7 linked regions of the Oryctolagus cuniculus genome follow. The protein of the gene in region 6 interacts with the protein of the main gene of each other region in a pairwise test. Links are inferred from orthologs where the notes say so. Each region holds a gene or a part of one and is shown on either strand. Other genes may lie near its edges. The genes, in order: NVL, BAG3, PPM1A, WDR83, FXR1, HSPB1 and PELO.

Region 1 (3,500 bases), on a different chromosome or scaffold from region 6:
TTTTCATTGACCACAATAGCACAAGCTGCCAACAGAAGCTTCTCCCAGGTCCTCTTCAGATTTTCCTTCTGTAGATGTACTGTTCCATTTGGAAGTCAAAGTTGGGCCACCTAGGTGGGTTCCTGCTGCAAGGAATTTGAAGAAGTCCTCCTCCTTCATTCGCAAGACATCAAGGCTCTGAACATTATGACAGCTTCCCCTTAAGTTACACCAGGAATCATGAACAACGCCATATGGGTCCCTTGCAGGATAGCGCAGAAAGGAATAAATAAATCTTAAATATATATATATATTTACTTGAAAGGCAAAGATAAAGAAAGGGAGAGAGAAAAATAGATCTTCCATCTGCTAGTTCACTCCCCAAATGGCTGCAATGGCTGGAGCAGGGACAGCCCAAAGCCAGGAGACTGGAACACTTCCAAGTCTCTCATGTGGGTAACAGAGGCCCAATTACTTGGGTCACCTGCTGCTGCTTTCCCATTTGCATTAGCAGGGAGCTGGATCAGAAGTGGAACATATATGGGATGCAGATGTTGCAGGTGGCAGCTTAACCCATTGTGTCACAACACCAGCCCAGTTCGTTTTATTCTGAATGGATCAAATACCTTGGACAAGTATATGTACACCAACTATAATCCAGTAGGTAGGAAGATATCTGTATATTACATTTGGGTGACATACAGCAAACAAAAGAAATTAAAAACACTTATTTAATCAATCATGATATTTCCCATTTCATTTATATTCATGAAGCAGATGTATTTTGATGAAATCACAACAAAGTTACTCTGGTACTCTTCTTTCATTATATGCTTTCTTGATGGCTTATCAACTTAGCAGAGATTACGCAAATTTCCTAGCACTATTGAATCTTGATGTTCAAAGGCAGGTTTCTTACTTTGTGAAAAACACGCAAGGAAACATAAAAAAAATTTACAAACTGAAGTAGTTCAATTTGTAAATTCCCAGATTATCATTTTATTTTAAAAGAAGTTATTTGAAAGCAATAGCAAGATTCAAGTCCCTGTTTTATAAAGTAGAGGCTATGTGACCTTGGGCAAGTCATCATCTCAGGCTTAGTGTCTTTGAGTGTAAAGGGGTAAAATAATGTATTTACTTCACAAGGTTATATGGTTCAAATTATATAACATACAGAAGCCATGGTACAAAATATAAAATGCTATATAAATATTGTATTAATATTCCATAACTTAGAAAACTTGAAAAATTTACTAGTGATCTTGGACTGATAAACTTCCCTCTCACATTCAGAAAACAGCTCTCTAGTGCTGTTTGTAGCTAAGGAGCTGGTTTCGTCAGCACTTTCCTGCATGCCGAATCAAAAGTTAACCAGGAAATAAACTTAGACGGCAGTGCTCTCAGAGGAGCTGCTAAACTTCTGTAAAGGACTAAATCTCATCTGTACTGACTTGCTGGAATGTGAGATAACACAGAGAACATTTAAAGGGCAGGTTCGAGGGCCTTCACAGAAAGCACCTGTGTGACAGAAGTGGGCTCAGTTCCCAGTGGCTCCTCCTGGCCAACTTCAGTTTTCAGATGTTTCTGCTGCTGTTGCTGAAGCTTCATTAGGCCCCTATTGACGGCACACATGGCAGCTTCCCGGCAGAGCGCCATCAGATCAGCACCCACAAAGCCAGGCGTTAGGTGTGCTAAGTGACAAAAGTTAAAGGTTTCAGGAAGTCTCAGTTTTCTACACAAAGTCTGAAGTATCCTGTGGAAAAGACAGGGAAAATTTTTCAGATTCCAAATTAATAGTAAAAACAAGCCACCAGCTATATTACTCTGAAGCCTTTCATCCTCATCAGGGGCATCCCAATGGGTAGCATGTAAGATCAGATCTCATTCATTCACTCCTCAAACGCTAAACGCTATTACATAGCCCCTGTTATTCAAGGATTATGGCAAAGAATTTCCTTTGTTAGGGACTACAGTAATTACTTTGAGGAATACAGATCAATTCTTTTAAAAAACACTCTGCCTTTAAGAACTTTGCAATATGACAGAGACGAAGTAATATGAATAAATTTATAGGACTATCTTTAGAGTAGATTAAATCAACATCTACCAGAAATAAAAGCCTCGACATGCAAATAAACTATTTGAATAAATAAAATGAATTTAATAAAAAAATTAATTTCATTATCACAAAAAGCTAGCTTCATACATGCTTTCACATCCAAGTTTGTATTAGAACAATTACTTCTCCAACTTCATTTTAATATGTTGTTCATGCCTTGTATTGCATGCCTAAAAAATTATTTTTTAAGATTTATTCAGGCCGGTGCCATGGCTCACTTGGCTAAACCTCTGCCTGTGGTGCCAGCACCCCGGGTTCTAGTCCCAGTTGGGGCACTGGATTCTGTCCTGGTTGCTCCTCTTCCAGTCCAGCTCTCTGCTGTGGCCCGGGAGTGCAGTGGAGGTGAACCAACAGAAAAGGAAGACCTTTCTCTCTGTCTCTCTCTCTTTCTGTCTAACTGCCTGTCAAAAAAAAAAAGAAGTAGTTCAGCTGGGAACAGACCTTGTGGCACAGCAGGTGAAGGCACTCTTTGAGATATCTACATCCCAAATGTGAGCCCCAGGGACTGAGTTCTGCCTCTGCTTCTCATCCAACTTGCAGCTATGATAGTCCATCTTTTTAAAGTAATTTAAAAGATTTTTGAAAGGTTTATTTATTTAATTGAAAGGCAGAGTTACACAGAGAGAGGAGAGGCAGAGAGAGAGAGAGAGAGAGAGAGAGAAAGAGAGAAAGGTTTTCCATCCAATGGTTCGCTCCCCTGTTGGCTGCAATGGCCGGAGCTGCACTGATCTGAAGTCAGGAGCCAGGAGCCAGGAGCCAGGAGCTTCTTCCAAGGCTCCCACGTGGGTGCAGGGGTCCAAGCCCTTGGGCCATCCTCTACTGCTCTCCCAGGGCAAAGCAGAGAGCTGGATCAGAAGAGGAGCAGCCAGGACTGGAATGGGTGCCCATATGGGATGCTGGCGCTTCAGGCCAGGGCGTTAACCCACTGCACCACGGAGATGGCCCCATAAATAAATCTTAAAAAAAAAAAAAAAATCGATCTCTCCCCCACTGCCTTTCAAATAAGTTAAATGAATTTTAAAAAATTCCTTAACTAAATTTCTACCTCACTACTTAAACAGTACTTCCCGAGACATACTCTGTTACTGAGTCCTAGTTTTGGCTACTATTGGACATTTACTGGCTTTACAGACATTCAACCCCAGTTCCAGGGAAGGCTGATCTTGCTGCATAGACAGTTAGCTTTAATTCTCTGGCTGTCATTTAATTATTTTTCAGGGCTCCCGTGGTCTTAGGCAGGCTCAAGTATAGAACTCACATTGAACTTCTCTGTGGAACACATGGCCCTGCTCTTTCAAAGCTCTAGATAATGTCCCTAAGCTGGTCAGTCAACTAAAAATCACAGCCAATGTTGATAAGACCACACAGGTGAGTATGGACACAGAAGCCCATTATCACCACT
Region 2 (3,931 bases), on a different chromosome or scaffold from region 6:
TGAACGTGAGGGAGCTCCCGGAAGCTCAGCTCACCTCTGCCAAAATCAGCCCTTCAGGCCATGTCCCTTTTCAGGAATCCATTTTTTTTTTTTTTTAAGATTTTTTTTTATTTACTTGAAAGGCAGAATTATAGAGAAGGAGAAAAAGAGAGATCTGCTGGTTTACTCCTGAAATGGCCACCAAAGCCGGGGCTGGGCCAGACTTGAGACAAGAGCCAGAGGCTTCCTCGGGGTCTCCCACACGGGTGCAGAGGCCCAGGCACTTGGGCCACTCTGCTGCTTTTCCAGCCACACTAGCTAGGAGCTGGATTGGAAGTGTAGCAGCTGGGTCTCGAATCAGTGCCCATGAGACACCAGTGTCACCTGCTACGCCACAACACCGACCCCAAGAACCCAGTTTTTAATGTAAAATTGGATGGAAGGCATTTCCACCATATTTAGTCTGGAGTACGGTGTACCTAATGTAAGTGAAACTGAGTGAGTCACCCCGATATCAAAGCGCAGGTCTGAAATAATGAGGCCCCAACACTGCATGGGCTGAGTGCTGGTGTTCTCCCGCTGCTGCACGGACAAATCCAAGCTGCTAATTTGGTTAAGAAAACTCCTCTTGAGTTGATCACGTTGAGCCATCAGAATCCAAGCAAACACACACGGTAGAGGTCAGTGACCCCATAACAGAGAGGACACAAAGATAATCGCGTAATCAAGAATTCCAGCCCGCATGCGTCAGTTTCATAACAATTCAAGCTACTTCTGACTTCTTCCCAACGGATCCACACTGCCTCTTAGTAGGCCTTCCCACCGAGCTCTCTCCTTGCTTTTGGAATTAGCTGCATGACCTTCAAAAAACACATGAACTTGTTGGGTTTATCAACTGAAAAGAGGCTGAACCAAATGATCCTGGAAGATGTCTCAACTTTAGCATTCTGGTTGTTTCCTATTCAGATCAACTTTTCCAGTGCTGGACTTCTGACTTAGTTATTATTTTCTATTTGTTGAGAAGGATAATAGTAGCTCAACCTGTTTTTCCCTCCTTATAAAGGTTTATGAAACCACAGCCTAACCCTATCCGGCAGTGGGTACAGAAGATCACAACTTGCTGGGTAAGTTTCAAGTTGAAAACATAGTGCTGGCAACCAGTATGTTCAAACTTGATCTTCACTGGAGACACAGTGCCTGCAGATTCTGCCCGCCTGTGGCTACCTGTGGTCTAAGAGCAAGAACAGGGTCCCACCCTAAGGGTCTGGATCTCCAGAAAGGGGGCTGGCCTGAAAATAATGTAAGCTTCACCCAATAAAGGGCTGAACAGACACACACAAAGGTATATGTAATTATGCCCTTCCCAGTTAATTACAGCCTCTTACATCAATTTTCAGGAATATACAATTAATTTCTTGTAAATGTACAACTGCTGAATGTACACTATCTCCCTGTTGGGTACCAGAATTTTGTTAATATTTTTAAGAACAAAAAAATAAGGCAGACAATACATGTCTTTCTTCCAAAATAATGGTTTATAAAGCATTTATGATGGGGCGAGTTTAGAAGTCTTCAAAATAACTTACCAGCTCTTTACTGCATTTATTGTGCCTGGACTCATTCACTCTCTTTTTAAGTGTATGTATTTTCCCAAGCTTTTAATCTTGAAAACGTTCAGATTCACAGAAAACTGAACAAGCAGTAAAGTCAATTATCGTCTTCTAACGAACAAACCCGTTCCCAATCTCCTATTTCCTCCCCCTCTCCGCTGAGGGGGAGGGCGCACACCTCCCCGCACATGCGTAGGGGAGGCATACACCTGCCACCCTCGAGGCTCGCTCATCGGTTATTTGTGGACTGGAAGCAAGTGCGGAGTATCTGAATACCATAACAAGGAAAATTCTCTCCCTCCTTCTCTCCAGCGGCTGCCTAGGAAGGCAGCACCTGGCTTTTCCTCCCCACGGGTCGCACCAGAGGGCACAGCGGATTCCAGGAAAAAGACTCGAGACCCCCGGGAGCGGGGAGTGGAGTCAAGAAACGCAGAGAGGGGACCGTCGCCCACGCGGGGCGAACCCCCGGCCTCGGGACGCGAGGCCGAGCCGGCCGCACAGGCCTCCGGGGCTGACCGCTCCCCGAACGCCGGCTCACTGCGCTGCCCCCCGTCCCCGCTGAACGCGCCCGGGCGCCCCGGGGAACCGCGTTAGCCCCGACGCCGGCCAAGGGCGGGTCCCGGGAGGCGACTGGGCCGGGAGAGGCGCGTGGGGGCCGGTGTCCGCGTCCGGGGCGGCCGTCCTCGGCCTGCTCCCCGCCGCCGCTCGCCGTCCCTTTCGGGCCGCGGGCCCGGCGGCTCACCTTGGGGCCCTCGGGGGACACGCGCGGGTCGTTCCACGTCGTGGTGCGGCTGTTGTGGTCCACGAAGAAGGGCCAGCCCGTCTGCGGGTCGACCTTGATCTCCCAGCCGGGGGGCAGCGGGTCGCGGTCGGCGGCGCCGTTGCCGGACGCCATCTGCACCACGGGCGAGTGGGTGGCGGCGCTCATGCCGGGCGCGGGGTCTCGGGCCTCGGGGCGCACCGTCGCTGTGTGGGCCGCGGCCGGAGGAGAGCCCTGCGCGCCGCCGACGTGTCCTGGAAGCCGGCGCCGGGGACCTTTATGAATTAAAGGCGAGGGTGACGTGGCCGGAGAGGGCTGGAAGTGTCTGGAAATAGCCTCCTCGCTGCCAAAGGGGAAGGAGGAGAGAGAGGGAGGCAGCAACTGGCCGGCTAGAAACTTCTGGCCCCATCCGGAGAAGTTGGCGGCGCGGGCCGACGCGGAGCTCCGCCCTGAGTCATCGGCGAGGGGCGTGGCGCGCGGGGCGGGGCCTCGGCCGGCCGCTGGGGCGGAGCTCGGTCCCGAGGGCCGTCCCGGGCGACCCCGCCGCGCGTGGGCGGCTCCCGCGCTCGCGCCGCTTTTCTGCGCTCTGGGGCCCTGGAGCCCGCGCCGGCGCCCGCTGCGCCGCCTCCGCGACCACGCAAGGAAGGCATCTTTAATTAAGCTCGGGGAAGCCGGCCACCCCGCCGCCATCGCCGCCGCGGCTGTCCAGATCCCGGTCCTCGGGGAGCCCCGCGCGCCTTTTCCAGGGATGCCCCGAGCTCTCCTCTGGCTCCACAACGCGGGCGGGGAGAACATGGAGACTCACTTGCTTGCCTTCGGAAACCTGAGGAAGAGAGGTTGCAGCAGCCTCATGACTGAACTCCAGAAACTCAGTCAAAAACTTAAAAATCACATTCTTTCAGAGTTTGGGTTCGGGTTTTGTTTTTAGTGAAACGTTTTCCCTTGCACTTCTCAACTAGCCGGGCGGTCCAACGCGCCACCCTTGATGTCATCTATGATGTCACGAAGGTGGCGGCCACCACTGGCATTACAGCCCACAAACTAGCCAGTCCTCCATCCCTTCAATGGTTCCAGAGAGTTCTCTGGCTAAAGATTGGGGCGAATCTGCCAGGCAAAATCGACAAGTTGCTTCCCCTGTGTTAATAATTTTCTGGTTTCTTGAGGGTTTTGATGATCTCTCGGGAAGCAGAAAGGACTGTTCTGAGCGGTCAGTTTCACCATGATCCTCGGGCCCTTCCAGTCACTGGAAAGCCGCCACAAAACACACCAAACACCTGAGTTAGAAGGGTTTATGGTTGGGTGGGGGAAGCCAGAGAGTAGGAGAGGAGGAGAGCTAACAGAGATCCAAAGAGAGAAAGAAAAGGTCCTCTTAAACCTTTGCCCCAGGCGGGCAGGGAAGTAGGAATAGGGAATCCCATTAGGGTGGGGGTGGAGCTAACACCGGTGGCTGGGCCATGGGGTCGCCTGGCTTCCAGCAGTGGTGGGATGGGGGTGGGGCAGAACCCAAGATGATGGCGCAACAGATAAGGCTGCACCATTTTACTGTCACCGGTTGCCTTTGGGATGCTGTCACCAACCATCT
Region 3 (3,996 bases), on a different chromosome or scaffold from region 6:
TTGCTATGCAGATCTCTGACAAATTTACAGTTAAAATAATTTACAATAAATTGTGGGGTCAACACATTTGCCTCCTAAGTAAAATATGGAGTTAGAAGTAAAACTATATACATTAACTTTATAAACTACCTTTTAACTATCATTATAAAAAATGACCTTTTAGGAAATATATTCAAAGATACCCGAGTATTCAAAATGATTTAATTAAATGATTGAATTGATGGTGGGGCCTCCCTCTACTCTCCTTCCTACTAGGAAACTGGAGTTAACTTTTACTTTTTAAGCATTTAACTCAGGTATATGGAAAAGACTGATCTTCTGTATCATTAGCTTAATCAACAAACAAACTTAAGAAACAGAAAAGATCATCAGAGGAAAATTGTATAAGATGTGACAAATGTTAATATGTTTGCTAATTTTTAAAATAATGCAGAGGAGCTAAAAAAAAAAGTGGAATCTAAGGTATACTGTGTATTTGCACTCAAGAAAACTGTTCTTAATTTACCTAACAAGCATTTAACTCTCAAGCAGTGCAGAATAAACTCAATAAATGATACTTTCCTACAGACTAAAGGTGACAACATATGTGCCTTAAATCATATTCAGTTCTCCTGAAATTCAGAAACTGACCGTATGCACTATTAATAGAGCTGTTACTCTATTGATGTCAACATATGCGTTGGATATCACAGAAATCAGGTATCAATTAAGTCGAGTTGCTAGTGTGTCTATAAAACCATACAGAATGTTGAATTTGAATCTCTGAATGTTAAATCAAATACACGAATTTTATAAAATCAATGTGTTAAAAAGAAAAATCAATAAAACCACCACTGACAAAATACAACAATAAGCCATAAGTAAAATGTCAAGATTTTCTAGTTTTAATGCTGCCACTCAAGTTGTATAACCCTGTTTGAGTCATTTATAACTTACCTAGGAGAGACAGCAGCTTGTATAGAGGACGTATTATATGTTAAACTAGACAACTTACATATTTCATTCCAGCTCCCTGCTAACATGCCTGGGAAAGCAGCGGCAGATGGCCCCAAGTACTTGGGTCCATGCACCCATGTGGAAGACCTGGAAGAAGCTCCTGGCTCCTGGCTTTGGAATAGTCTAGTCCCAGCCCCGGCTGTTGCAGCCATCTGAGGAGTGAACCAGTGGATGGAAGGAAGATCTCTCTGTCTCTCTCCCTCCCCCCTCTCTGTAACTCTTTAAAAAAAAAAAAAAAAAAAAAAAAAAAAAAAAAAAGAGTATAAGAGTACAAAAGTCTACGAGGTAAGCCTTGATCCAGGTCTGTCTCACTATAGAACAAAACAGCCAAACTAGCTCATCTATGGATATGATCCCTTCTGATGCTCCCAACAAGCATACAGGACACAGTGTGAGAGTATGTCTTACCCTTTTCACAATTAAACTGATTTTTCCAGAGAATTTAAATCACTTACCTGAGTTAGAAACAGTCTCACACCAATTTCTTCTGACTCCATGTCCCAGGCTATTTCTATGACATCACACCAAATGCTCACTAAGTACCTTTGCTGGTGCTGATTCATTAAACCAAAGTCGAAAAGTACTTCCACATATGTTCTGAGATATCACATGGCAAAAGTATTAAATTTCTAAAATGTTTTTTCACTTGTATGAAAGCTAACCATCCCCATCTTCCTTCCTTTAAAAGAAGCATTCTAATATAATCTTTTTACCTTTGATAAACATCCCCATTATTAGAAGGTTCCAAGTAATCGTGGTTACTAAAAGACCAGTCAGTTGACAACTTGCATACATGATAATGGGGTAATTTACTTCTAAAAAGTGTCCCTGTATTTTCATAATAGATGAAGAGTAACCTGCAACTGTGCTAAAACTTACTTTTGAGAACCGCAGGTTACAGAATGATTAAATACTAATTAATACAACATAAATTGTTTTATGCTTAAAAAAAAAAAAAAGGTCTAGCTACCTTATACAAACAGGTGTCGACTACTTCATTGCAAACTTTCTCAAGGTCATCAGTGACTTCAAGTCTGGATCTTACAAAATCACAGAGCTCTTCGTTTCCCATGACATCCCAGATACCATCACATGCAAGGATAATGAACTGATCATCTTCTTCAGATCTTTCAATGTCATGGACTTCAGGCTCTGGAGAGACAAGCTGCTCTGTAGGACCTTTTCCATGGACACACTTGTAATCAAAATCCCCAAGAGCCCTCGATACAGCCAGAGAGCCATTCACACGCTGAATCATGACAGAGCCACCTGCATTCTGAATTCGTTCTTTTTCCAGCGGATTACTTGGTTTGTGATCTTGTGTGAAGAAGTGAACTTTCCTGTTCCTACAAAGTAAACCTCTTGAGTCTCCACAGTTAATGAAGTAAGTGTGCTGGGGTGAAATTAAGACCCCCACCGCTGTTGACCCACTCCTATCTGCACCGTGCTTCTTCTCGGACATAACTCGCATGTGTTCATCAATCTCCAGAAAACCTGTTCTGATTCCATTCTTGACGTTTTCCACAGACGGTGCTCCTGCAGACCCTTTAAAGTCCTGGTTATTGGTGATGTGATCTAACAAATGCTCACAGCAGTACTTGGCAACCTGAGAACCAGCATGCCCATCATACACAGCAAAGAATGACCATGTTTCAAGTCCACTTGGCAAACCGATCACAGCCGTGTGTGCATCCTCCATTTCCACGCGCCAGCCTTGCATGCTGCTTAGCCCATATCGCAACCCATTACCCTGCCCCTGGGCATTATGCTTTTCCATCTTTGGCTTGTCTAAAAATGCTCCCATTATGTCTTGATCCTCTAGTTCTGCAAAGGAAAAGAAACAGGAAAGTCAATCACTGCCTTATCTTTTCTGAAGATACAGCAAAAGTCTTAGACAAGTACTCACAACTCTTACTATAAGCAGACACCTGTGCTGTTGACTTACAAACTGGACACTAACAGGGAAGAACTGGGGGAGAAAGGCTGATCACGCACAGCTCAGAGTGGACCGCAGGTAGTGAGACCTAAAGCGTGGGGATGAGGGGAAGCTGATAAAACAATCTCCCTGATGCTTGGGGTAGAAAGGGGACCTGACAGTGGCCATCAACTTGCACGAACCGGGACAAATGTTTAAGGATATACTGCACCTTTTCTTAGGGTATCTCAGAACTAACTCGTATGTGTATCAATCAAGAAAAGACAAATAAATTCACAGGACATATAAGAATCCTATTAATTCAAACATCTTAGTTCCACGTTTAGGAATTTCCAAAGTTTATCCAAATTACCCGGTTCTATTCCCACTACATGAATCCACTGAGAAAGTAAAAAAAGATCTTCTTACAATGCTCACAATTGGCATACTCCTACCTTTACTCAAGTCAGCCTCCTTTACTGGAATCCCATGCTCCTCCTCTCTGCTTACAGAAAACAGTATAAAGTCTGGCTCAAATTCTACCTCTTCCATGAGGTTTTTCAGTCGTTGATTAAAAAAGTCTTTAATACGTTGTTAAATTACTATAAATGGCCCAATTTCAACTTTCTGTTGTTAAGATTTATTTATTTATTTGAAAGGCAGAGTTACAGAGATGGACAGAAAGGGAGAGAAAGAGATCTTTCATCCATTGGTTGACTTCCAAAATGGCTGCCAACGGCCAGGGTGAGGCTAGGCTGAAGCTAATAGCTTTAAGGGTGGCACAGGCCCAAGCACTTGGGCCATTTTCTGCTGTTTCCCTAGGCCATCAGCAGGGAGCTGGATCAGAACAGGAGCAGCTGGGACATGAACTGGTGCCCACGTGGGATGCTGGCACTGCAGGCAGCAGCTAAACACTTTGGGCTAAAACACCAGCCTGTCAATTTCAAGTTAAAAGCAATTATACAAACCACAAAGCTTCCTATACAAATATACCAAAATTAATCTAATAATCTAATAATCTAAAGGCAAAAACACATTACTATTATACTCTATTTGACCACCATGTATAAATAGTAAAGGAGATC
Region 4 (4,183 bases), on a different chromosome or scaffold from region 6:
AGCTCCTGGCTTCGAACTGGCCTAGCTTCAGCCATTGCGGCCATTTAGAGAGTGAACCAGGGGATGATAGACCTCTCTCTCTGCCTCTCCTCTCTCTGTGTAACTGTGACTTTCAAATAAATAAATACATGTTTAAAAAACCAAAGAACCAGGAAACAGCCAAGTTTCCCAAAGAGGCAAGAAACGTAACCTGATATAACCTGGCACTCAACTAAGCAGTTACTTTTCTACTGATTTTTAAATATTTATTTATTTGAAAGAGTTACAGAGAGAGAGGTCTTCCACCCACTGGGGCTGGGCCATGCTGAAGCCAGGAGCCTGGGGCTTCATCTGGGTCTCCCATACAGGTACAGGGGCCCAATTGTTCAGGCCATCTTCCACTGCTTTCCTAGGCCATGGCAGAAAGCTGGATGGGAAGTGGAGTAGCTGGGACTTGAACCAATGCCCAGAGGGGATACCGGTGTTGTAGACAGTGGCTTAACCTGCTAGACCACAGTCTCATCCCTGGAAAATCCAATCTGCCTTCTGTTCTTCCCTGTTTATAAAACCAATCTCTGCTTAGCTCATAGGAGCTCTCATCCTATTTTACGGAATAAAAGCTTCACCCAATTCTAGAATAGAATATAAAGCCAATTAAAATGATCTTGCAGCTGGGGCCAGTGTTGTGGTCCAGTCCTGGCTGCTCTGCTTCTGACCCAGCTCCCTGCTGACGCGCCTGGGAAAGGAGCAGAAGACGGCCCAAACAGCTGGGCACATGCCACCTATGTGGGAGACTGGGGTGAAGTTCCTGGTTTTGGCCTGGCCCAGCCCTGGCCGTGTGGCCATTTGGGGACTGAACCAGTGGATGGAAGCCCTCTCTCTCTGCCTAAAATAAATAAATCTTTTTAAAAGAAAGTTCTCTTTATCACTCTTTCAAAAAAATAATAAATCTTTCTTTTTGTTACAGAGAGGCAGAGCAGAGAGAGAGGTCTTCCATCCACTGGTTCACTCCCCAGTTGGCCGAAACAGCCGGAGCTGTGCCAATCTGAAGCCAGGAGCCAGGAGCTTCTTCCAGGTCTCCCATGCGGGTGCTGGGGCCCAAGCACTTGGGTCATCTTCTACTGCTTTCCCAGGCCACAGCAGAGAGCTGGATCAGAAGAGGAGCAGCCGGGTCTTGAACTCGCCCCCATATGGGATGCCAGCACTGCAGTTGGGGACTTTACCCGCTATGCCACAGCACCAGCCCCTAAAAATAAATCTTAAAAAAAAAAAAAACAAAAAACAAAAAACAAAACGCCGAGGGGTCCATGTTGGGCGGGTGGGGGAGGCATACACTGCACAGTGCTGTGAATGAACGGTGGTGAGGAAGAAAGCAGATTTTGATGCAGGTGCAGAGGCAGCTCTGATCGTCCATGGCATGGCTGGGAAGGATTAGATCCTGGGTCTCGGGGCCAGTGCTGTGTGCTGGTTAAGCCACTGTCTGCAGTGCCGGCATCCCATATGGGCACTGGTTCAAGTCCTGGCTGCTCCACTTCCGATCCAGCTCTCTGCTGTGGCCTGGGAAAGCAGTGGAAGATGACCCAAGTCCTGTGTCCCTGCACCCGCATGGGAGACCTGGAAGAAGCTCCTGGCTCCTGGCTTTGGATCGGTGCAGCTCCGGCCGTTGCAACCAGCTGGGAAGGGAACCAGTGGATGCAAGATCTTTCTGTCTCTCCCGCTCTCTCTGTAACTCTGCTTTTCAAATAAATATATATACTAAGACCAAGGGTCTACTCACCCTGCCAGGACTTCGTGGTCCGACACCTTCACGCTGGAGACGCTGTCCTTGGCTTCGTCCAGCTTCTGCACTGGCTCAGGTCTTCTTGAGCGGCAGTCCCAGCAGCGGATGCTGGAGTCGATGGAGCCTGCAAAGCCGCCGTGAAATGGGGGTCACCTATAGAGGGGGTGGGGATGGCCCCTCGGTCCCTCACTCCTAAGGCGCCAGACTCACCAGACAGGATGACCGTGGCCTCCTCATTAAACTGCACCGTGTTCACCTTCTGAGAAACAAGAACTGCCACTCAGAGGAGGCTGGACTTTGGGAGGACTGGGGCAAGGGCACAGCCTAGGGGGTGGGGGCGGTGAGAGGGCGGGGCTTGCTGATGGGCAGGCTGTCAGGAGTGGCGGTCCCGTCCACCCTCCATGGGCTCAGGGTTTGGGGTTGGGGGGAGGGCAGGGGGGTCTCCCGGTTTGCACTCACCCCGGCATGGCCTCGGAATTTGCGCACAACCTGCCCCGATGCCACATCCCACAGCACCACCGCCTTGTCCCCGCCGCCGGAGCACAGACTGCTGTTGTCAAAGGAGCTGCAGGGCAGGAAGAGGAGGTGGCGGAGGGAAGGTGGCCGTCCACCCCCCCCCAACACACCCCGATCCTGGCCTCGGCGCTCCCCGATCCCAGCCCGCGCGGCTCACCTGGCCGCGTCCAACACCTCGTAGCCGTGGCCGCTGTACGTCCGCAGCAGCGTCCCCCGCAGCGGGTTCCAGAGCTTCAGGGTCTTGTCGCTGCCGCACGTCAGGCAGTAATTGCCGTCCACTGGGGAACACCGGGCGCGGACGGGGAGCGGTTATGGGGCCGCAGACCCTCAGGAGGCGGGAGGAGGCCGCGACACGAAGGAGGCGCTCACCATTAAACCGCACCGCCCGCACGGCCCCCTGCCCGCAGTCCAGCGTCTTCACCCGCTTCTGCGGCAGTTCGGGGGCCCGCGGCTTCGGCTCAGGAAAAGCCATGGCTCCGCGGTCCCGGCGCGCTTGGGTGTCACCTTATTATTGTCCCCCATACCGATTTCCGGTTTCTCACTTCCGGATTCAAGCCTTCAATACTGTGGTGACTGATGTTGAGAATATCGAAGCCCGCTCTCTCAAGCCACCCCCCCATACCACTTCCAATTTTCAAGGAATATTTTGGGTGTCGTTTAGTTTTTTTCCCCTTCTGCCTGGAGAAAGTCCTGGCCTCTGCGGTGTGGAACGGAAGCGTCAGGGCTGTGGGTGTTACTCTAAAAGGCATCCTCCGCTCCCGCACCGGAAGCGGCGGCTCCGGGAGCGGAAGAGACGCCAGCTGGCCCTTCCGCGCGCAATGTCCACCAACAATATGTCGGACCCACGGAGGCCCAACAAAGTGCTGAGGTGAGGGAGGACCCCAGCGTTGTGGTGACGGGTCTCGGGTTTGGGTGCGGGTCGGGGCCAAGGGAGCCGCCTGCCTGTCCCGGGGGCGAGACTTGAGTGTCCCTGACTCTTGAGCGTGTCTCAGGTACAAGCCCCCGCCGAGTGAGTGTAACCCGGCCTTGGATGACCCGACGCCAGACTACATGAACCTGCTGGGCATGATCTTCAGCATGTGCGGTCTAATGCTCAAGGTGGGCGGGACTGGGTACCCGTGGGCGTGGCTAAGCCAGAGAATGGGGGCGGGGGGGCAGGATCCGGTGGAAGCGGGGCGTCCGGGCAGCGGCGGGGGGCGGGGCCTGAGGCCAGCCAGCGGAGAGGGGCGGGGCCTGAGGCCAGCCAGAGATAAGGTGCGGGGCCTCAGAGTCAGCTTGGGGCGCCTCGCAGGTCCGTCTGAGGGTGGAGACAGCCTTTGAAGCAACTTGGAAGAAATTTCTGGAAAAAATGATGGTGGTGGGCAGCATGGGGCGATGTCTCAGGCCATTCTTGGGCCTCAGGGAACTCGGTGGGGTCAGAGACACAAGCTTGGGAACTGAACCAGGAGCTGGGTACCTGGCGTTGCCTCTGAAGGGGGGGGTGGAGCCACTTCCGGGGGGCAGGGTAGGGTCCCAACTGGACAAAGTGGGATCATTTTAAAAAGTATGCATGAGATCTTCTACTTACTATTTGGGATCTAGGGAGGGCGGGCAGAGTGAAAGGAGGACAGGGGCAGAGAGACAGACATACCGAGATCGCCGTCTGTTGATTGACTTCCCAAATGCCAGAAATCGCGGGGCCTGGGCTGGGGCCGGGAGCCGGGAGCTGGGAGCCGGGAGCCAGGCGCGCAGTCCATCCAAGTCTCCCACGCAGGCGGCAGGCGCCCGAGTGCTCGAGCCGTCCCTGCTGCCCGAATGTCCACCGTCCCCCGCCCCGCACAGTGTGGAATGTGGTTGGGGCGGGGGTGGGGTCGGGTCCCTGGCATCCTGAGCAGCGGCCCCCTGCCTTCCCCCAGCTGAAGTGGTGCG
Region 5 (4,044 bases), on a different chromosome or scaffold from region 6:
TGTACACCCAAAAAAACTTATTCTACTGTATATATATTAAATTTTTAGAAAATCGAATGGTTAAAAACAGTTGCTGTGTGACAAGTCAACTTGCTTTCTAAAAGCACAGTTTTGTGGAATAAAAACTGGGAATTATTGTACTACTTCAAATCTGCCATTTACACACAAGACAATAGCCTTAGACTAGTTCAGGGATCCACTGGAAGACAGTGGTAAACTTAATACAGACATAAATTCCTATTTATTTCAAATCCAGACACTCTACACTTTGCCACTATCCTTCCAGATTTCTAAAGATTACAACTTCCACAAAGTATATGTAGAAGTGGATTTATAGCAGAACATGAAATTTCCAAGGCTGAAAAGCAAACATTTCAGTACACATATGTAGCTAGTCTACTTCCCAACCTTTGCCAAAGTCACACCTCACTTTGTTGAGGCAAAATGGGCAATGAAATCTCAGAACGAAGATGTGTATGGATGAGGATCAGTAATCAACACTTCAGAGGTCCAAATGGAGACATGATTTAGTGGATTGAAAAGAAAAATACCACAAGAAACCAAAGACTAACCAATCTTATAAAATAAGTGAAGACTTATTATGTTGACAGGCTACCTGCATGAGGTAAAATGTTAAATCAAAATAATCGTTTTCAATTTTTCAATATGCAATGAAAAAAACACATGCCTCTCTTACACAAGAACTGCATAGCCCAACAGTGAGAATCTGAAACTTTTCCACTGGGGAAAGGGATGGTGATGATGCAAACTCCTCTAGACAGGAAAAGTATGGGCAAGTTCATTCTCTGCACCTTCTGCCCAAGCTTCCCATATCGGCTATCTGTTCAGAAAAGGAAACCACTTGGTTTCAGAAAGAAATGAAGTAAATGAAATATCTATTCAAATTTCACTTAGGTAGCTTCTCTGATACCTACTTTTAAACCTGAAATAACTAGACCTACATTACAGGGTGATACTAAACACTCCGTTTCAACGTGCACTGTTTCTACTTTATGTGAACCATCTAAGAAAATTTAAACTTGTTAAAGACTGTTGGGGGGGGGGCTTTATGATTTTCTGCTATGCTTTTACCTCGTGACAAGCTAAACCAAATACACAGAGCCAATCAGTAAATCAGGAAAGGAAAAACAAAATGCTGAAAATAGGAAATCATGACCACTAAGTAAGAATAAATTATTTATGGGATAAAGGGTTCGCCGAAATGAAGACCTATGAGAATTCACTCTGCGTAGGCACAATACTCATCTATTACAAGGCAGCCCTTCATAAAAATAGCCAAGACTCTCAAACATTTGAGATGCTGGCTTAGTGAGATTGACTGACAGACAACAGCTGGGGAGATTTTGTATTGATCTTGTAACCTCCTGGCATACTTTGGAAGAAAGAGAACTAAGAAAAAAAGGAGTGCTATAATGGTGAAAATTAAAAAAAATAATAATAAAAACACCACGGTTGTGATTAAATTTAATTTCGTAACCTTTTACATTGGAAGCCCCGACCAAATTCCTCCACTCTCAACCGCTCTTCCGTTTTCCAACCCGATTCCATAGTAATGCATCTCCTTCCTCCAAAGGCAACAAACAAAAAGAACCTCGTGGGGGGAAGAAAAAAAAAAAAGGCCGCACCTTACCAAATAACTGACAGAAATTAACCAGTCGCCTCCTCACCTGTCTCCCCCGTTCAGCTCACGTTTTAAAGCTTACTTTAAAGCCTCGAACTCTCGCCTTTTCTCCGGCAACAGAGGGGCTGAAGGCGCCGCCCAATTTTCCAGGCCGCAAAAAATATTTCAACCCGCCACATTTCTAGGTTTCCTACTTTTCTCTTCTCGATCGTACCCCTCAATCCAGGACCCCTTCCCCTCGCAGACACGGTTCAGACTGGGGGCCCCAAATCCTAATAATACAAAGGTGAATTCCTAGGATTCCGCGACGCACCCCCTCAGGAGGTGGGGAGGGGTCCGGAGGAGCAGGCAGAGGAGCTCCCGCTCAGCCCAGTCCGAGGGGCGGGGGAGCGGGTGTGACCACACAATCCCACCGCCTCCTTCCTCGACTGCCCACCTCCCCGCGCTCGGGCCTGCTCCCAGGGAGCTCCTCGCCGCCGGCAGCCATTGGGTTTGTCCTCGCCGGCCAGCCAAGGACAGCATGAAGACCCTACAAGAAGGCTCCTAAGTAGGAAACGGCAAGAGGCGTCCGATGTGTTGTTTCAAAACATAACGGAGCCCGGGCCCCCGAGACCGTTAAACCGCGGGTGGAGGGAGGAGAAGCGAGGAACCCAGCAGTCGCTGGCTTTGGCTTGGCCGCCCTCTTCGACCCCAAACCGCATTCTCAGGGATCACCAACCCTCCCCTAAGCCCGCTCCGGCCCCCAGAAAACCCGACAAAGCGGCGAAAGGGTCAGTACCTTGTAGAAAGCCCCGTTGGAGCCGCGAACCTCCACCGTCAGCTCCGCCATGTTGGAACCGCAAAGGCCGCTGGGAAGAGATTCTAGAAACTTTCCAACCAGAGGGGAGGAGGGGGGAGGGGCGAGAAGGAGGCGGGGGGAGGGGTGGGGCAAACAGGGCGGGGATTGGGATCCCCCGCCCCACACCCCTGGGGTCTCAGCGTGCCGCCCCGACTCTCCAGGTGGGATCCCTCCGCTCCTTACATCACGCGCCCCGGGCTCCGCCCGCCGCCGCCTACGCCCAGCTCGCCTCCCGACACAATCGGCCGACCTTTGCTGACCTGCGCCTGCGGCCCCACCCCGCGGCGCTCGCTGCTGGCCCGGCTCCGGCTGCCGGGACGCGAGCACCTCACGCATGCGGCGCTCAAACTTCTCCAAGTGCTAGCAACCCTCGAGTGGCTGCCCAGCTGGCGAAGAGCAACTTTCGGGGCTCCCGTTGCCCACTGGCGCAATTTCTTGAGGGGAGAGGGGAACCTAAAAAAGTGCCTATTATTGGGCTGTAAATTCTTTCGACCTTTTTTTTTGTTTTGGTTAAATCTGACTTTTCTTCGCTCAAATTCCACAATTCCACACTCCCTCAGTTTGACCAAGCGCGGTCCCCACCTGTTACCACTTCAGCTGCTTAAATGGCAGTGTTTTCCTTGCAACGTGGCTGTATTCACAGCCTGGAGCCGAGTTGAGGTTAATAGCCATTATTAGAGGTAGTCAGGGAAACTTAGAAGGGCGGGAAACGACGCTTTCCCCTGCTGCAACCCCTACCCAGTTTAACAGGGTCAAAGCAGAATTATTTCGTGTGGCTTTTCTACCAGAACCTACCCTGCTTCTGTAAGCATTATACTAGAGATACTCTAGTGTTTTCACCACTTAATATTCAAACTTTTTATTTCCCCAAAGCAAGGCCTCTGGAAATAAATAATAGGGGCTCTTTTGTGTATGTGTTGGTACACTTGTTTTACCATGTTCACATGTAAGTTAAACAAGATGCTTTGCTGGCGCTCTGCTCCGGATGGAATGCCCAGTGTTCCAGCTTTTGGAATCCCTCACTACACACACAAATGTATAGGACACTTGATGAGCACTTCAACATCTCCAAAGGTTCAGGAAGGAAGCTGCAGTGGGAGGGTGGCTGCAAAAGGGCTCAATAGCCCTATGCACGTGATGTTCCTTTTATAAATGTTGCTCAGGTTAGGGCAGGCACTATGGCACAGCTGGTGAAGCTGGGGCCTGGTTCCAGTCCCTGCTGCTCTGCTTCAAATCCAACTCCCTGCTAATGCCTCTGGGAGAGCAGCAGAAAATGGCCCCAATACCTGGGCCCCTGCCAATCACATGGAAGGCCAGCAAGGAGTCCCAGTCTCTTGGCTTCCATCTATACTGATCCCCCACGGCTGCAGCCATTTGGGGAGCAAACCAGCAGTTGAAAGATCTCACTCTCTAATCTCTCTCTATTCCTCTGCCTTTCAAAATAAATAAATAAAACTTTTTTTTAAATGTTAAGTAGGCAAAAATGTAAACTAAATGCCCATCAAACTAAATGAATCACACCATTTAAGGGCTTCGACCAACAAAGTGTATGTCATCTCATGAT
Region 6 (3,399 bases):
TTCAGATCCGTCGGGACCCTCTCCTTAAGTCTAGGGAAGAGGCTGGCAGGGAGGGCCAGGCAGAAGAGGGAGAGGGCTGAGGGGGTGTGGCTGTCCCCGCCCGGGCAAGTCAAGGCAGCTCTGCATATCAAGATCACAGCCTTCCGGACCAACACCTGGGCCACACCCCCTTCCCCCTGCGCACGGTGCCCAGGGGCAGGGGCAGAGCCCATGCCGCACCAAGGGGCTGCCCAGGTGGGCTCAGTCACCTGGAATTGCCTGCTTCACCGAGGGTCTGGGAGCTCCGGGCAAGCGCCCTCCCCTACTCCTGCTCAGTTCCTCCTCACCTGGGACAGGTGCGTCTCCTGGGTTTGCAGACTCCCACACCTGGCCCTGTCTGGTTGCAATCATTCCCCTTCTCCATGGACAGGAGACCCCTAGGGTCGTCTACCCCTCTGTGCCAAAATGACGCCATGTGACCCGCCCCTCCCCCCTCCAAACACCAGGGTCCCAGGCAGGAGCAAGCAGCTGCTTTGAACTTTATTTGCGAAGACCAGAAGCTTAACAGTATCAAAAGGGCACGCAGGTGGGTGCTGGGGGCTGGGCGGCGCGCGAGGGCGCTCTACTTGGCCGCAGGCTGCTCGGACTTCCCGGCTTCCGGGCCGCCGATCTGGGCGCGGGCCTCGAAGGTGACCGGGATGGTGATCTCCGCCGACTGCGTGGCCGGCTTGGGCAGCGGCGCTTCCACGGTGAGCGTACCCTCAGGGGACAGCGAGGAGGAGACCAGCGTGGGGTCCACGCCGGGGGGCAGCCTGGACGCGGCAGGGAAGGAAGAGGGCAAGAAAGAGTTAACACAGCGCTGGGCGGCAGGGGTCACTCCTCCCCGGGTTCCCACCCCCTAGCTGGCCAGGGCCAGGACTCACGTGTACTTCCGGGTGAAACAGCGGGAGATGTAGCCGTGTTCGTCCTGTCGCTCTTCGTGTTTGCCTGGGTTGGGGGGGTGCAGAGGGAGGTCAGAGGTCACGGGAAGGGGGCCCCTCCACTTGCTCAGGGGTAGCTGGGGCCCCAGACAGGCACAGCCTGAGCCAGCAACTGCTGGAGACTGGCAGGGGGTGTGGCGTGCGCCTGACTGTCGGGACCCTCAAACTTCTGGAAAGTTCCGAGTTTGGGGAGTGGCCAGCCGCGCAGGCGCGCGTGGGGCGGGGCACACGCCCCCCCCCCCAGTCTCCCTGCGCGGTCCTGGGGCGCTGCTGATTTGGGGCGGGGGTCTTGGCTGGAAGCAGCGCCTCTGCCCCCAATAGAGGGACCCTCAGGGGCAGCCCGCACCGCTCCCCGCCGTCCCCTGCGCCCCTGCCGCGCCGCGGGCCGGGGCGGCGCTCCGGCGGACTTTTAACTCCACCCCACCCCACCCCACCCCCGGCCCCTGCGCCCCGGCCCGGGGCTCACCCGTGATCTCCACCACGCCGTCCTTGGTCTTGACCGTCAGCTCCTCCGGGGCGAAGTGGTTCACGTCCAGGGACACGCGCCAGCGGTCGGCCGTGTGCCGGATCTCCGAGACGCCGCTGCTGAGCTGCCGGCTGAGCGCACGGCTGTAGGCGGGCGCGGCCACGGCGGGGGCCTCCGCGGCGGGCAGGGGCCGCACGTAGCCTGGCCAGCTGCTGCCGCCGAACCACTGCGCCCACTCCTCGGGCAGCCGCGGCAGCCCGAAGGCCTGGTCGAAGAGGCGGCTGTGCACCGGGTACCAGTCGCGGAACGGGTCCCAGCTGGGGCTGCGCAGGAGCGAGAAAGGCACGCGGCGCTCGGTCATGGTTGCGGTGCGCGGGGCAGGGGCGCGGAGAAGTGCGGGGCTGCGGCCCCAGACGCGCTTTTATGGGTCTCCAGCCGGGTATTTTTAGCAGGCGGTGCTTCGGGTCTCTATTAATGGCAATGACCAGCTGGGGGCTGCCCCGCCCCCTGAATTCCTCCCCCGTGATTACAGGGGCGGGCCGTGGAAGGTTCTGCCCACATCTGGAACCTTCTCCGGTTTAGGGAAGCGAAATGCGTGGCTGGAGCCGCGCCCACGGCCGGGCCCTACAGCCTGCGCGCTCAAGCGCAGTGGCCGGCGGCCAGCCCGTGTCTTTTGTGGAAGACCCAGGGGTCACAGGAGGTTGGGTGGTCCCAGAGTGACCACGGGGGGTCCCTGGGGCGGGGCGCATGCTTCTACCACCAGGCGGGCTGGCTTGTGGCAGTGAGGCTCCTGCCTCACTTTCCCCATCTGGAAAATCTGGCAGCGAAAATGCTTGGTGATTGGGTTAGCAGGGAATGCAGTGACGTCATGCGCCTGCTGGGTCATCCTGGTTCGCTGTCGTCATCCACCTGGAAGGGGATGAGGAGGCGGAGTTGGTGGGGTCTGGCCTTTCCCCCCTACCCGGACCAGAGACCTCCAAGCTCTAGCGCTGAGAGAGAGGGGTCTGGAGGAAGTTTGTTGTTCCGGCTCCCTGCTAGGACCTGGCTTCCCTTAAACCCTGGCCAGGGAACCTCAAGTGCAGCAAACTTGAGAGCAGGCGGGGCTTGGCTCCCTGGCTTCCTGCTGTGACTAGGGGCAAAATCTCCTTGCTGGGCCTCAGTTTCCCTTTCTGCAATTGATGGTCCTCGGGGCGCAGGGCAAGGGGCCTCCACGTGGTACAGTTCACTCTAGCTGGCTGTGAGCCTGGACACCCCACCCCCTCCTGCCCCCTCTCACACACCCCCACTCGCCTCATCCATCTGACACACACCCCACCCTCCCCTGCCTCCTCCATCTGACACACTCCCACCCCCACCTGCCTCCTCCATGACACACACCCCCCACCCCCACCCGCCTCCTCCATCTGACACAGTCCCACCCCCACCTGCCTCCTCCATGACACACACACACCCCACCCCCACCTGCCTCCTCCGACACCCCCCTCCCCCGACTCCGCTGGCCATCCTTTATACTCCACAGTTGCTCTGTCTGCACTTCACGGGCACCCCCTGTCCAGCCTGCCTTCTCCCCTGGTAGACGTTCTGTGAGAGGAACCTAAAGGTCCAAGAAATTGGGTGACAGCCCTGGTCTTCCCTAAAACTCAGGCAGGGTCAGCCTGTGGCCCTGCCGCTCCCTGCTTCCTCTCCCAGACACACACGGGGGCTGGGGCTCCCCACCCACAGCAGCCAGACTCCCGGTCACTCACTGCTGAGAGGCTGGGGTAGCAGGAAGCCCCCTCCCCTCTCTGAGCCTGTTTCCTTTCTTTTTTAATTTAATTATTTGGAGGCTGGTGCTGTGCCGTAGAAGCTCCTGGCTTCAGCCTGGCTGTCGTGGCCGTTTGGGGAGTGAACCAGCAGATGGAGGGTCTCTCTCCTTTTCTCTCTCTCTATTTGAAAGACAGAATGAAAAGATAGAGGAGGACGGCCGGCGCCACG
Region 7 (2,276 bases), on a different chromosome or scaffold from region 6:
CCTCAGTCTCATCTTAAAAATAAAGAGGTTCATAGGGATTATCTTCAGATTCTCCAGAACAAATCTCTAATCTGAAACAGTTACCCTCTAAAGCAAATATGATTAATTCTAACAACAAAATGCCAAGTGTTTACTTATAACATGATGGATTAAACAAGTCTCTTAAGAAAAATACCATTTTAAACTGTACTCAAATCTACTAACTGTTTCACTACTACTTAAAATTGTCAACCACCCTGCTCCCCCAAAAAAAGTCTGGGGTTGCTGGGGAGAAAAGGGATCATTAAATATAATGCATGAACATCATGTAGAATTAAAATTATATAAACTGGTAAAACGCTTTTCCCTAAGGAAAACTATTACAAAGTATGCAGATTTTATGACCCATCCCAAACAATATACAGCCATGTTTATTAACTATGTAAAATCTTCATATTAAAAATAACTCATAATGCCCATATAAAAGTATCCCAATTAATAAAGATAATAGTACATGGAGATTATTTCCTTTTAGTTTATTATTTAGTCTGAATACATGTCCTGCTGACCATAAAACACCCAGTGCAACCAAACACAAGAGAAATTCCTGAATGAATCAAAAAGTGTCCCTCTTGCAGCTGTCACAAGGATGCTAAGGAAACCTAACAGTGGCAGAGTGAGACAGAGGGTGTCTTAATTCCAAGTCTCACTCATCAATCCTCTTCAGAACTGGAGTCATCCTCTTGGTCGGAGAGCTCAGCCACAGGGAAGCGAAGAATGGCCGCTACTCCAGTCAGCTGGCTGAGCTGCTCCCCAGACACATGAAGACTGGAGAATATCCTGACCGTGCCTGCGTTCTCCTTCACACTGTCCACCAGCTTCACATACCGGCTCCGCGTGGCTACATCCTGGTGCCTGAAGAGCTCATCGCTGATGAGCAACGTGTCGATTGCCATGGCTTCGTTGGCCTTCTCCACCTGCTTGAGTCCATAGAAGGCTCGGTCAGGTTCGTGCTGTAACATTTTATAAAAGTCATCCAGGGCTTTTACTTCCCCAGCAGCTTTAGTGTCTGAAAGGCGGCTGGCTACGGTAGGGTCACAAAGGGCCTCTTTCAAGGAGTACTTGTGTCCAGAGGAGGCATGTACCTAGAATCACAATTATCAAAGTTAGACAAAAGCAATCTCTCCCAACACCCGTTAACCAGCCCACACCGACCTAAAGCCAAAGACATTAATTAGGCTTTGTATGTTCAAGGACTTCAACACAGTTCATTAAATAAATCTGCGAGCTATTTTACCGCTTCTTTTCATCTCCTTATCTCATTTACAATCCCAACCAACCACAGGACTTTCTTTCACTTTCCCCAGCTCTAAAACTTCAGGGGTGTTTTTTCACCAATCCCTCCACCCTGTTCTTAATCGACCCCGGGTTAGGACTGCTTTACCTGAAGGAATTTGGACCGGTTTTCGAGGAGCACTTTGTTGTCAGTCTTCACTGCTTGCTGAAACATGTAGTCGCAGAATTGCTCCCTCACGAACCCCGGGCTGGCCACCAGGATGCACTTGACGACGTCAAAGTGTATGTGGCGCTGGATGGCCTGCACCACCTGCTCGTAGAACCGCTCCAAGGCCCGGTCGTGCTGCGAGCAGTTGCCTTTCCTCTTCCTGGGGATGTTCACCTCCACCTTGGCCCGGGTGAGGGTCATGCTGGGAGTGACTAAGCAGATGTGGGCGAGGCCTTCCTGCATGACCACGGCCGCCACATCAGCGCTCCAGGCAGGGTCGCAGGCCTGCTCGATGCGCTCCAGAACCACGCTGTCCCACTGCTTCTTGGCCAGGGTGAACTGGCGGTTGGGCTCCAGCTCGATGGTGTGGTAAGCCCCCATCTTGACGTACTCGTTCTCTTGGATGTTGGTCCCCTTGACCCGCAGCTGGCAGGCTTGGGAGTCGAAGTCGATGGCCTCCACGCACAGAGTGAGGGTGGTGCGCACCCGGTTGCTGCCCACGCTGCCCGTGGAGGACTCGGTCTGCACCTTGCGGATGGTGGAGGCGCGCAAGCTGTCGCCCACCTGCACTAGGTTGTACGTGTGCCACATGTCCTCGGGCTCCTCGGGGACCAGGGTCACCTGGCCCGCGTTGTCCTTCTCAATGTCCTTCCTCACGAGCTTCATGGCCTTGGCGGGGGCTCACCGACCACACGAGAACCGAAGGGGGTCGCCCCCTAGGAAAGGGACAGGGAAGGGGAGGCTAGGCCGGGAAGGGGGCGGGTCCGCTTTCTACAAGTACCTGCCGGGCGGG

The links.
Region 1: the proteins of HSPB1 (region 6) and NVL interact in binary tests that used the Homo sapiens proteins (3 or more experiments, as listed by UniProt). The link is inferred for Oryctolagus cuniculus from reciprocal best matches to the Homo sapiens genes HSPB1 and NVL.
Region 2: the proteins of HSPB1 (region 6) and BAG3 interact in binary tests that used the Homo sapiens proteins (3 or more experiments, as listed by UniProt). The link is inferred for Oryctolagus cuniculus from reciprocal best matches to the Homo sapiens genes HSPB1 and BAG3.
Region 3: the proteins of HSPB1 (region 6) and PPM1A interact in a two-hybrid assay, tested with the Homo sapiens proteins (2 studies listed by BioGRID and IntAct). The link is inferred for Oryctolagus cuniculus from reciprocal best matches to the Homo sapiens genes HSPB1 and PPM1A.
Region 4: the proteins of HSPB1 (region 6) and WDR83 interact in binary tests that used the Homo sapiens proteins (3 or more experiments, as listed by UniProt). The link is inferred for Oryctolagus cuniculus from reciprocal best matches to the Homo sapiens genes HSPB1 and WDR83.
Region 5: the proteins of HSPB1 (region 6) and FXR1 interact in a two-hybrid assay, tested with the Homo sapiens proteins (2 studies listed by BioGRID and IntAct). The link is inferred for Oryctolagus cuniculus from reciprocal best matches to the Homo sapiens genes HSPB1 and FXR1.
Region 7: the proteins of HSPB1 (region 6) and PELO interact in binary tests that used the Homo sapiens proteins (3 or more experiments, as listed by UniProt). The link is inferred for Oryctolagus cuniculus from reciprocal best matches to the Homo sapiens genes HSPB1 and PELO.

Annotation. Positions count from the first base shown.
Region 1 is NC_091444.1:38,403,478-38,406,977, forward strand, and holds part of NVL (nuclear valosin-containing protein-like), read right to left. Parts: intron 1,733-3,500; coding exon 1,498-1,732; intron 1-1,497. UniProt on the Homo sapiens protein: Participates in the assembly of the telomerase holoenzyme and effecting of telomerase activity via its interaction with TERT. Involved in both early and late stages of the pre-rRNA processing pathways.
Region 2 is NC_091446.1:11,066,323-11,070,253, forward strand, and holds the start of BAG3 (BAG family molecular chaperone regulator 3), read right to left. Parts: upstream 2,801-3,931; 5' UTR 2,518-2,800; coding exon 2,332-2,517; intron 1-2,331. UniProt on the Homo sapiens protein: Co-chaperone and adapter protein that connects different classes of molecular chaperones including heat shock proteins 70 (HSP70s), e.g. HSPA1A/HSP70 or HSPA8/HSC70, and small heat shock proteins (sHSPs), e.g. HSPB8.
Region 3 is NC_091451.1:10,259,571-10,263,566, forward strand, and holds the start of PPM1A (protein phosphatase 1A), read right to left. Parts: upstream 2,801-3,996; coding exon 1,967-2,800; intron 1-1,966. UniProt on the Homo sapiens protein: Enzyme with a broad specificity. Negatively regulates TGF-beta signaling through dephosphorylating SMAD2 and SMAD3, resulting in their dissociation from SMAD4, nuclear export of the SMADs and termination of the TGF-beta-mediated signaling.
Region 4 is NC_091447.1:62,229,279-62,233,461, reverse strand, and holds the start of WDR83 (WD repeat domain-containing protein 83), read right to left. Parts: upstream 2,801-4,183; 5' UTR 2,748-2,800; coding exon 2,645-2,747; intron 2,554-2,644; coding exon 2,433-2,553; intron 2,325-2,432; coding exon 2,219-2,324; intron 2,019-2,218; coding exon 1,970-2,018; intron 1,884-1,969; coding exon 1,757-1,883; intron 1-1,756. Other genes in the region: WDR83OS (PAT complex subunit Asterix), read left to right, coding at 3,094-3,143, 3,268-3,373, 4,171-4,183. UniProt on the Homo sapiens protein: Molecular scaffold protein for various multimeric protein complexes. Acts as a module in the assembly of a multicomponent scaffold for the ERK pathway, linking ERK responses to specific agonists.
Region 5 is NC_091435.1:98,750,804-98,754,847, forward strand, and holds the start of FXR1 (RNA-binding protein FXR1), read right to left. Parts: upstream 2,801-4,044; 5' UTR 2,472-2,800; coding exon 2,421-2,471; intron 1,828-2,420; exon of another isoform or gene 1,689-1,827; intron 1-1,688. UniProt on the Homo sapiens protein: mRNA-binding protein that acts as a regulator of mRNAs translation and/or stability, and which is required for various processes, such as neurogenesis, muscle development and spermatogenesis.
Region 6 is NC_091450.1:44,266,199-44,269,597, forward strand, and holds HSPB1 (heat shock protein beta-1), read right to left. Parts: upstream 1,949-3,399; 5' UTR 1,787-1,948; coding exon 1,426-1,786; intron 967-1,425; coding exon 903-966; intron 792-902; coding exon 602-791; 3' UTR 501-601; downstream 1-500. UniProt on the Homo sapiens protein: Small heat shock protein which functions as a molecular chaperone probably maintaining denatured proteins in a folding-competent state. Plays a role in stress resistance and actin organization.
Region 7 is NC_091445.1:73,605,688-73,607,963, reverse strand, and holds the end of PELO (protein pelota homolog), read right to left. Parts: intron 2,200-2,276; 5' UTR 2,150-2,199; coding exon 1,424-2,149; intron 1,125-1,423; coding exon 693-1,124; 3' UTR 501-692; downstream 1-500. UniProt on the Homo sapiens protein: Component of the Pelota-HBS1L complex, a complex that recognizes stalled ribosomes and triggers the No-Go Decay (NGD) pathway.